Regions from separate parts of the Mus musculus genome. Here region 1 is reported to be linked to region 2. Evidence: microRNA targets listed by miRTarBase, many of them from high-throughput screens and not tested one by one. Region 2 holds a microRNA gene; the other region holds the end of a gene's coding sequence.
What was found. Region 2 holds the annotated microRNA mmu-miR-362-5p (AAUCCUUGGAACCUAGGUGUGAAU, at 2,793-2,816, opposite strand). A microRNA usually pairs through its seed, bases 2 to 8, with sites in the 3' UTR of a target mRNA and lowers its output. Matches are read on the target gene's strand: a 7mer-m8 pairs with bases 2 to 8, a 7mer-A1 pairs with bases 2 to 7 and ends in A, and an 8mer does both.

Region 1 (4,499 bases), not on the chromosome of region 2:
GACAAATGAACAGGCAAAGGAGCTTTGTTCTGTTCTTCCAACACTTAACATTAGCTGCAGTAAAGTGCTGGGGTTTTCTATGCCAGACCTGGGGACATTGGAAATGTAGTATCTGCTTTAGTTGCTCCGGGTAGCTATACACTGTGGACGTGGGTGGGAATCTTCCCAGAGGAGGAGTAAGTTTTTACCTTGTCAGCGGCCCTAGACCAGCACAGTCATTGCTTGATTTATAGCTGGTTCCCTGCCTAACTGCATTGAAGACTCTTTACTGGGGCCAGAAGAAATCAAGCTCTGTTAACAGTACACCCTGTAGCCTAGGGGCTGAGTGCTGGTGGCATGTGTTTATACAGTTCTTAACTTCCACTGAGGTCTAGGATCAGGCTGCTAGAGCTTTGCTTTAGGGGCCTGAGTGAAGTAATTTACATGCATCACACAGATACGGAAAGACTGGCTCATACCCAGCACGCCACTTTTTGGACCTAAGCCTCCCCCATCCCTGCAGTACTTGGAATTCCTCTTATTGCATTAAGGTTTTCTTTAAGGAGTGCATACCTAAGGAGGCTTCAGACGTGGTACATATCAGATCCTGGTGTTAATTGTGCCCTTGACTTAGCTGACGGTACTAAGAGGTTTCTATGCTGCTTAAAGGAAGATAATTATATTTAAATGTGAGCTGTGTATTCAGGATGATAATTCAGCTGTGCCCTAACCTTCTTTCTTTTCAGGAGTTCCAAGACCTCTGGCCTCATTTGTCCCTTGTCATTGATGGGGGGCCAATTGGGGATAGTCAGAGCCCTGAGTGTCGCCTCGGCTCTACTGTGGTTGACTTATCTGTGCCTGGAAAGTTTGGCATTATTCGCCCAGGCTGGTAAGTATCTTTCCTGTGCCTCTGGGGAATGTGAGGGAGGTTGGAGAAAAGAGAAGATTTAAAGTGCAGGTTTTCTCCAGGCAGTGTTAATTCACGCCGTTAATCTCAGCACTTAAGAGACAGAGGCAGGCAGATCTCTTGTGAGTTCAAGGCTAGCCTGGTCTACAAAGCAATTCCAGGACACCAGGGCTACACATAGAAACCCTGTCTTGAAAGCAAAAATAACAAAAACTTAACCAAAAAAGTGCATATCTTCATTACCATTTTAAAGGGACCACTAAGGGCTGCCACAGAGAGGTGTTAAGTGGGCTGGGACTAAATTTGCTGGTATAGCTGGCTTTTTAAGATTCATCAAGTTTGTTTAACAGTGGGACAGTAATTAGAATTAGGCTACTCAGACTTTGGTGTACTCCATCTTCTGAGAAGTCAAACTCTTAACTACCTTCTATCTTCCTCAGTGCCCTGGAAAACACTACATCGATCCTCCAGCAGAAATATGGGCTGCTCCCTTCACAGGGGTCCTGTTCATGAAACTTGGGAGGACCCAAGGACCATGCTGGATACTATGTGTCTGCTACTGGATGGCAAAGCCTCACTGCCTGAGGTTCCTACATCTATAGCCTAGCTTTTTAGGCAGCATCCTTGGCTCTGAATCCTGTAGGCCAGCCAGAAGCTGCAGGGTGAGCCTTGTCCCCGGGGGAAGGTTATATTTATTTATTCTGTACATTTATTTGTCAGCCAAGAATTAAATGGAGGGAAGGATGTTCTTAGAGTGGCCTTATTATTTTAAGTGCCCCCTCTCACCCCCACCCCCTTTAAGTAACTTGAGTACAGAATTAGAATGCATTAAAAGCTGCTTTCTGGGGAACAGTGACATTTGATGTCAAACCAGCCAGAAGCACTAATGCAGTCTAGAATAGAAGTCTTAGGACCAACGCAGCAAAGTCTAGGAGCCGAGGGCAAAGCTGTCTGGGTACAGGGGAGTGGTTATTGGGGAAATTATTCTAGGGGTCCCAAGTGAAATATTGAAAAATAAAATCTTGACTTTTTTCAGCCGGTGACTTTCTAATTTATTGGTATAGTTTTATGTGTAATTTATTTAGCTTCTTTGTTTATGCAGAAGCCTTTTATCCTTGTTCATATGTCTACCAAGTATTTACATAATTATTTTGGGGTATTTGAACTGTATTTTCTTTTGTTGTTATTAAATATTGCTTCTACAAACAGTTGTAAATGGTTTATTTTTCTTTTGAGTTATTTCCTTAGAGTAGGATTTCTCAGTCAAGATATATGTGTGCATTATGGCTGTTGATGTAGATTAGTCTTCAGAAAATCTGAGGGTGCTTGCTCCTTCCTGCTGCCTTGCTGTATCCACAATATATATGCAGGGTTAAATCCAGCCCTTTCAACTAAGCTGCAAGCTGGGTGGTCAGCCCAGCTGATCTGTCTCGGGGGTTAAGTGTCGGTGACTGGGCTGGTTGTCCTTGCAGTGACCAGTATTTCACCTCCTCCATCTGCAGCCATTTCCCAGAGTTAAAGGCTCAGCTTTAGCCTGTAAACCAGTCCAGAAGGGTCTAGTGAACATTTCCTTTTCAAGAATCTTGCTGAAAATATTCATCAGGTTTTACTTTACCAAGGATCCTTGCAAGTAGCATTAGTTTATTTGTGAGTAAGCACTGGCTCGTTAACTCCCTAGAAATCTTATGTAAACTAGTCTTATAAGCAGATCCATCTCCACTGTGCTAAAGCTAGCCAGCCTAGCCATACACTGATGTGTCCCAGACTGACCTAGTGGTCAGCACTTAGGAGAACTGGAAGAGGAATGTGTACTGGCATACACCATTTCATACTTAATACAAATCACAGTAGCACTGAAAGTGGCCCTAGTGAGTGGCCTCCCCGGCCTAGGCAGCTAAAAGGAGTGACCTAGTCCTCTCTGCAGCTAAACGTTCATCTGGGAAAGGCTCCGGGTCACAGAGGTATTATCTTGGAGGAAAAAATAGCTGAACTCCCAGGCCTGGGTGTAGCTGCAAAGAGCGAAAACAGCCGAGGTGCTAGCTACAGTTATACCAAAAGCAGGATCCTGTAAGCTTTGGGAAGGAAACCTTGCTCAAATTCCCCAGCACCTGACAGGCAATAGGTGCTTAGTATGGGTGCTCAGTGTTCCTGATAATGGGGCACAGGAGTCTACTGGAAGGACCTTAAAGTCCTCTTAGAAGTGTCAGATGTGGTTCCCTGTGTTCAGCAAGATGTGGGAAGGTGGCTGTCCAAGGGAAGTAAGGTGCATGCTAGCTTAGAACCCTGAGACCCTCCTAAGCATGGCGGCTTGCGCAACTCCATACAACTACCTGCCTCAGCTGAAAGCTGAGGGACCTGGAGGTTCCTTAAGCCATTGCAGCCACTTGCCCCCTCCTGCTTCATCATGTCTTGCTTCCCAGCACCGCCAGTCCAGGTGCCAGGCTCTGTTCTGCATGAGCCAGCTGGTCCACCCACGAGCTCCCAGTTGCTACTTGGGACTAGCGAGTGCCTATATCCCCAACTGAACCAGTTTGGTGATCTGTTAAGGTTTGTTTGCGTGAGAGTCCCTCACATCAGCCATTGCTCCTTTTCCTTGATGAAGTGCTCTGCCCAGCGGCGGGTCAGCTCTAAATACAGGCTGGACTGGTGAGGCAGGTAGTCCAGATACAGGCGAGTTGGCGTCGTCTTGGGGACAGCTTTCTCAATCTGTGTGCCCTCGTGCCACTCATTGAAGGAGGTGATAGAGACTATCTCGGGCCTCACAGTCAGGGCTGCCTGCAGGGCTGTCTCATAGTACTTGCCATTGACCCGGTTCCGAGTATTGTGGTTGTTCCAGGGCCGGATGCTGGTATCAATGTACCCAGGCCCCACGCTAGGGATGAACATCAGGTTGTTGGTATCACAGAAGTTCTTCACAGCTTTCCAGTTCTGATGGGAAGAGCCAAAGGAGAAGCCATTGGAGGCAAAGTAGGTGTACATTCCGTCGAATCCTGCCGCGAGGATGTCGTGGGTGTGGCTCTCCTCCACGAGCAGAGCTATGAAGACCCCATCATAGGGAGTGTTGCGGATAGAGTGAGGCCCATTTTGTGTCAGGAGGTGGGCCCAGGCCTCAGGGGATGTCAGATAGGAGTCGTAGATATAAAAGAGTGGGAGGCTCTTGCCCATGCTATTCTTGTAACGGTAGAATGCACCGTGGGAGCCATACCTGAGGAGCAGGAGGGAGAGGCTTAGGTTGGTTGTGGTAAGATTAGCTCACAGCACTCTGGAATCCAGCAGGTTACATATTGAACCTGTCTATGCATTCAAGTATTAGCCTGCCTCCCTTCTCAGCACCGTGCCCCCTTCCCGAAGCCCATCTTCTCCCCAGCCTGCCCACCATCTTCATCAGAATTTCAGCAACAATCTCCTAATTGGCATCTAGCCTTTATTCCTGCCTTCCTGTAGGATATAATCTTACCATGGCCTGTAGGGATTCCCGTTTCTGGTCTGACCTGACCTATTTTCAGCTACTACACATTAGATTCCACTGCCTAACTGGCCCTTCTGTTAAGCTTCATGTGAGCTTGTCTCATCTTAGCACATTCCACATGCTAGTTCTCTCTGCCTGGCATTT
Region 2 (4,499 bases):
TCATGCTACGGTTTCTCTCTCTTTGTTGCATATTCATTTGCCCACATGCCATCATCAAGTGTGGGAATGAGAAGGCAGGAGAGACCAGCTGAGCTTCTCCCAGACAGCCTGCATGAACATACATAAGAAAGAAGGGAACTCTTTCCTCTCTAGCCCCTCACCTGGCTGGATTCTGTGATTATAAGATTTGAGTGATCATCAGAATCAACTGGAAGGCTTAAAGAGAATATAAACTGCTCTGTGTTATGACCTGATAGGTCAGGGGTGGAACTCCGCACTTTGAATGCATTCCCATGTGACGGTGATGCTGCTGATTCAGGGATCCTGCCTTGAGAATCACCACTGTAAATGGCCATTCAGAACATGAAGCATCTGGACACGGTGGCACATCAGACCTATAATCCCAGCACCCAGAGCCTGAGGCAGGTGAACCAAGAGATCTGGGCTACTCTGGAATAGACAGCAAGTTCCAGGCTGGACTAAGCTACTTAGTTAGACCTCCCTCATCTGAATAAAAAATATACATGATATAAAGACTACTATTTTTAACATGAAAGAGATTCACTTTTCTTTTGGGATCACATGTTGCCCAGGCCAGCTTGCAAATGTGTGTAGAAAAGTATGACCTATGGAGGTGGGTATAGGAGAATCAGCTTGAGGGACAGAGCTACACAGTAAGACAGTAAGCTCCTGTCTTCAAATGGGAGTAGTGATGGTAGTTGACAAGAAGTCACTTAGTCTACTGGTCTTCGGGCTGAAGGGATGAGGAGAGGGAACAACACAATAGGCTCCATATCCACTCTTCCTGTGAGCGAGTGACTCCTCTCCACGTAGGCCCATGTGTTTAGGCATATCTAGGGCCATGGGAGGGGGAATAGTTTGAGAAATCTCATCTATCAGACCCTGCACTGAGTCATTCATACAGAATAGAAAACAAGGAACAATAGACCTAGGTCATTCTTTTGAACAGCAGTTGGTGAGTCTATAATAGTCAAGGATCTTAGTGTGTTTATTAGTCTCCTAAGAGAGTAGCACCTCTGTTCATTTTGTTTCCTGCTACATCCTCTATGACTAACAGAGCTGTATCAAATAGTGCATACCTGAATATTTGTGAAAGGAAGGAAAAGGAACAGGGGTGTGGACATATAGGGGCTCTGTCCTTTAAAGTGCAGGCGAAGTGCCACCCTTTGGATTCCTTGGACAGGACTTACTATTGAAAACAGCACTTGTGCTGAGGATTAATGTTCCTGATGAATCAGGTCAGATAATCCTCTCTGTGGGCACAAGTCTGTGAATCCTCTCCTCTGTATACACTGCATTTATATGGGACTGTGTTAAAATATGGAAGAATCCAAGTGGACAGTGTACATGAAGTCCCAGTCTACAGTCCACTCATGCAGGCATAATGGATGTGACACAGCTCACTCTCCCTGGACCATTTGCTCCCTGAACCACATGTGGTTCATACTCCTGTGGACCAAATCCCTAGTTGAGTACCTGCCATACTGAATAAATAGACAGGAAACAGTGGAAGGAGGCGTAAAGGTCCTACATGAAGATAACTCAATGTCTGAACCCTTGCCCAGGTATATTGCATTCGCAAAGCACACTCATCCAAGTAGCAAGTACTAGAAAGGCACAGCCTGCACCTATGCCCTTGGCATGTGGGTTCAACAAGAAGGCTTACTGTTCTTGCCCTGTGCATTCCTCCAAGAGTTGAACTAAAGAAGAATTTCTCTTCCAGGTGTCGGTATGAGAACTAGAATGAAAAGCTGCGCACTTATGTCAATACACAGTTTACTATGTGCCCCACTTGTTCTTGATACCTGTTAGGGTCATAAGTGGAAATAAAGTTCTACCTATAAAATCTAGGTGGGAAGAGGCCAAATTTGTCACATTTACTCTCCCATGCACCATGCCCGTTGTATTTGTAGAAGGAAAGAAGGTGGGGGGAGGCATAAAAGAAGTATGCAAGCAGCAAACAGATGAGATATGATGCACAGACCTCCTGTCCTTCTCCATGCAGATCAGGCTCACCTTCCCCAAATCCTTGCCCGGGTGCATTGCATACAAATAGCATTTTCACCCAGGGACAAAGGATTAGAGAGGATGAGCAGAGCAGAAGGCCCAGGCACCTGTACCATGTTTGTGTGGTTCTGTATATAATATTTAATTTTCCTTGTCCTGATTCAGCCAAGCATCACCACCTATACCCAAGCTTGACATCCCTGATTTATATATGTATCTGCCCCCTTCCCACCATGAGCATCCTCTCTCAGAGAAAACTTCTACGTATACAAAATGGTATCTCTCCCAGATCATACTTGAGAATTTGTGGGGGCCTGATTTATGTTTGGAAGGTAGCAAGAAGGCTGGGATCTGAGAATGCATATACATACTGAAAGAGGGCACAGTGGAGGAGGATACTCCATTCCTTTCCAATGCCTTTATACAATTCAAGCTTTGTGGAACAGGGGTTATCACTGGATGTAACAAACGGGTTGCCTGAGTAGCAGCACCTAATGTGTGCTCCTCATCACATGATCTGACACTTAGCAAACTGGGAATCAAGAAAGCTCATGCTGAGAATAGAAGCATGTCTACCAAACATGATAAAGACCATTTTGCTGTTAGAAAATGTGTAGAACCAAGTCTGACAGCTAAAACCAAAATCAAATGGTGGCCAGGAGGAGGGAAGGTGGCAGGTGAGATGTGCAAGTATGGGCCATTCTACACGCAGACAAGGCTCAGCCTCTTTGAATCCTTGAACAGGTGTGTTGCACTGAAGCAGCATTCACACCTAGGTTCCAAGGATTCGAGAGGGGGAGCAAGCAAGAAGGCTCAGGAACCTGCCCTTCCTGTGTGTGGTCAATATGCTTGTGTGCAACACACTAAAAGAGAACGAGAGATGCGCTCTGTCCTTTACAAACACAAAGGTCTGGCTCTCAGAATCCTTGCTGAAGAACACTCTCACCCAGGTAGCAAGGATCAGAGAACTGAAGCAGGGCAAAAGGCTCACAGCAAATGAACGCATGGGCTCACCTTTGACACAAGGTGCTTATCTGTGATGAGAAAGAAGACAATGTTCTTGAGCTTCACATTAAGTATGTCTAGGCACCTGAGTTCAACTCCCAGCCTCCACATAAAAGAGCCAAGCGTGAGGACTCAAAGAAAGCTAGATCCCTTGGCCTAACTGGTGAGTGCCAAGTCCCTATTAGAGACTGTTTCAAAAAACAGGGTAGATGTCCCCAAAGGGGAAGCACCTCAGGTTGACCTCTGCACCCTCCACACACATACACAGAAAGAGAGAGAGAGAGAGAGAGAGAGAGAGAGACAGAGTGACAGACAGACACAGAGACAAAGAGAGACAGAGACAGAGAGACAGACAGACAGACAGACAGACAGAGACAGAGAAACCTGTCTAAATATATACATTCATATTTTGTTCTGAGATTATAAAAATATAAAGCCAGAGATACAAAATACTGAAAGAAAAAAAGACAGAGAGACAGAGAGAAGAGGCCATAAGCTCACAAGATGGCAGTAGAGATTGGCATCCTTTAACACACATCAGCATCTTGTTAAAGTTACTTCAGATACCTGGAGGACTTGGTACTAAGATAACTTACAGAGGTTTCTCATTAGTGAGCTCAAGATTTTGTATTTCTAAAAGGGGCTGGGTGATGCTGGGGACCTTACCAGCATCATGGATAAGACAGAGAAACTGTGGAGTTTGGTATCTACAAACCCTGTTTCAAACCTATACTTCACCATGTACTGGATTAAAGAATCTACCTGCTTTCTCCAAGGTCATGGACTACTTCTAAAAAATGAGAATAACAAATGCTATCTCTTTAAAGAGTACCAAAAAAATTAGGTAAGATGCAAGCCTAGAGTAGGATGCAGGACCTGGCCCCTGGCTATTATTTTTACCTCTTACACTACCATTTTTGTACACATGTGTCTAAATGAATGTCCTGTTTACAATAGTATGGTCATACTCATATATGCAAAAGCCAGGTGAAGGAGGCATGAATATCAGTGACTCGGAGAATCTGTAAAAGGCAATGCAAGGACTGGCTCTCTGGTAATTCTTCTTCAATGTGCCTAAATCAACGAAGTTCACACCCCTTTCTGTGAGGGATATGAAAGACAAAATCACAAGTTTCAATCTTTCACTTTCCTACTATATGTCACAGAGAGTGAAGAGAGTCAGGAGTAAGGAGAGAGGGGAGAAGTAGAGAAGGGGGGAGAGCGAATATAAATGAATGACAGTAAGGCATTTTTCTCTATGAGAAAACAAGTGTATCAAACAAAAGAAACCTTCTATGCTCACGGGCCTATATATGATGTACACCTAGCTATAGATGGGCTTCATTCATATTTGTTCTCCTATCTACCCAGCTGATGCAAAAGCATATCTATGACTGTCTAGGTATGTGTTTACAAAAATGTCAGTGTTAACAAACAAGTATACCTTCCTATAACAGCTCCGTCAA

Region 1: the mRNA of Maneal is a reported target of mmu-miR-362-5p. Seed matches in the 3' UTR shown: 7mer-m8 at 2,507-2,513.

What each region holds. Positions count from the first base shown.
Region 1 is chr4:124,853,149-124,857,647 of GRCm38, forward strand. It overlaps Maneal (mannosidase, endo-alpha-like), which reads right to left. Exons shown (of 4, transcript NM_001007573.3): 4 at 2,091-4,091. The coding sequence ends at 3,455. It overlaps Yrdc (yrdC domain containing (E.coli)), which reads left to right. Exons shown (of 5, transcript NM_153566.2): 4 at 726-868; 5 at 1,327-2,094. The coding sequence ends at 1,399. Among named protein-coding and RNA genes, the nearest start is that of Yrdc, 4.6 kb to the left of the region's middle.
Region 2 is chrX:7,239,227-7,243,725 of GRCm38, forward strand. Mir362 (microRNA 362) reads right to left here and starts at 2,820; the gene lies at 2,756-2,820. All of the region lies in intron 2 of Clcn5 (chloride channel, voltage-sensitive 5), which reads right to left. Mir501 (microRNA 501) reads right to left here and starts at 2,125; the gene lies at 2,017-2,125.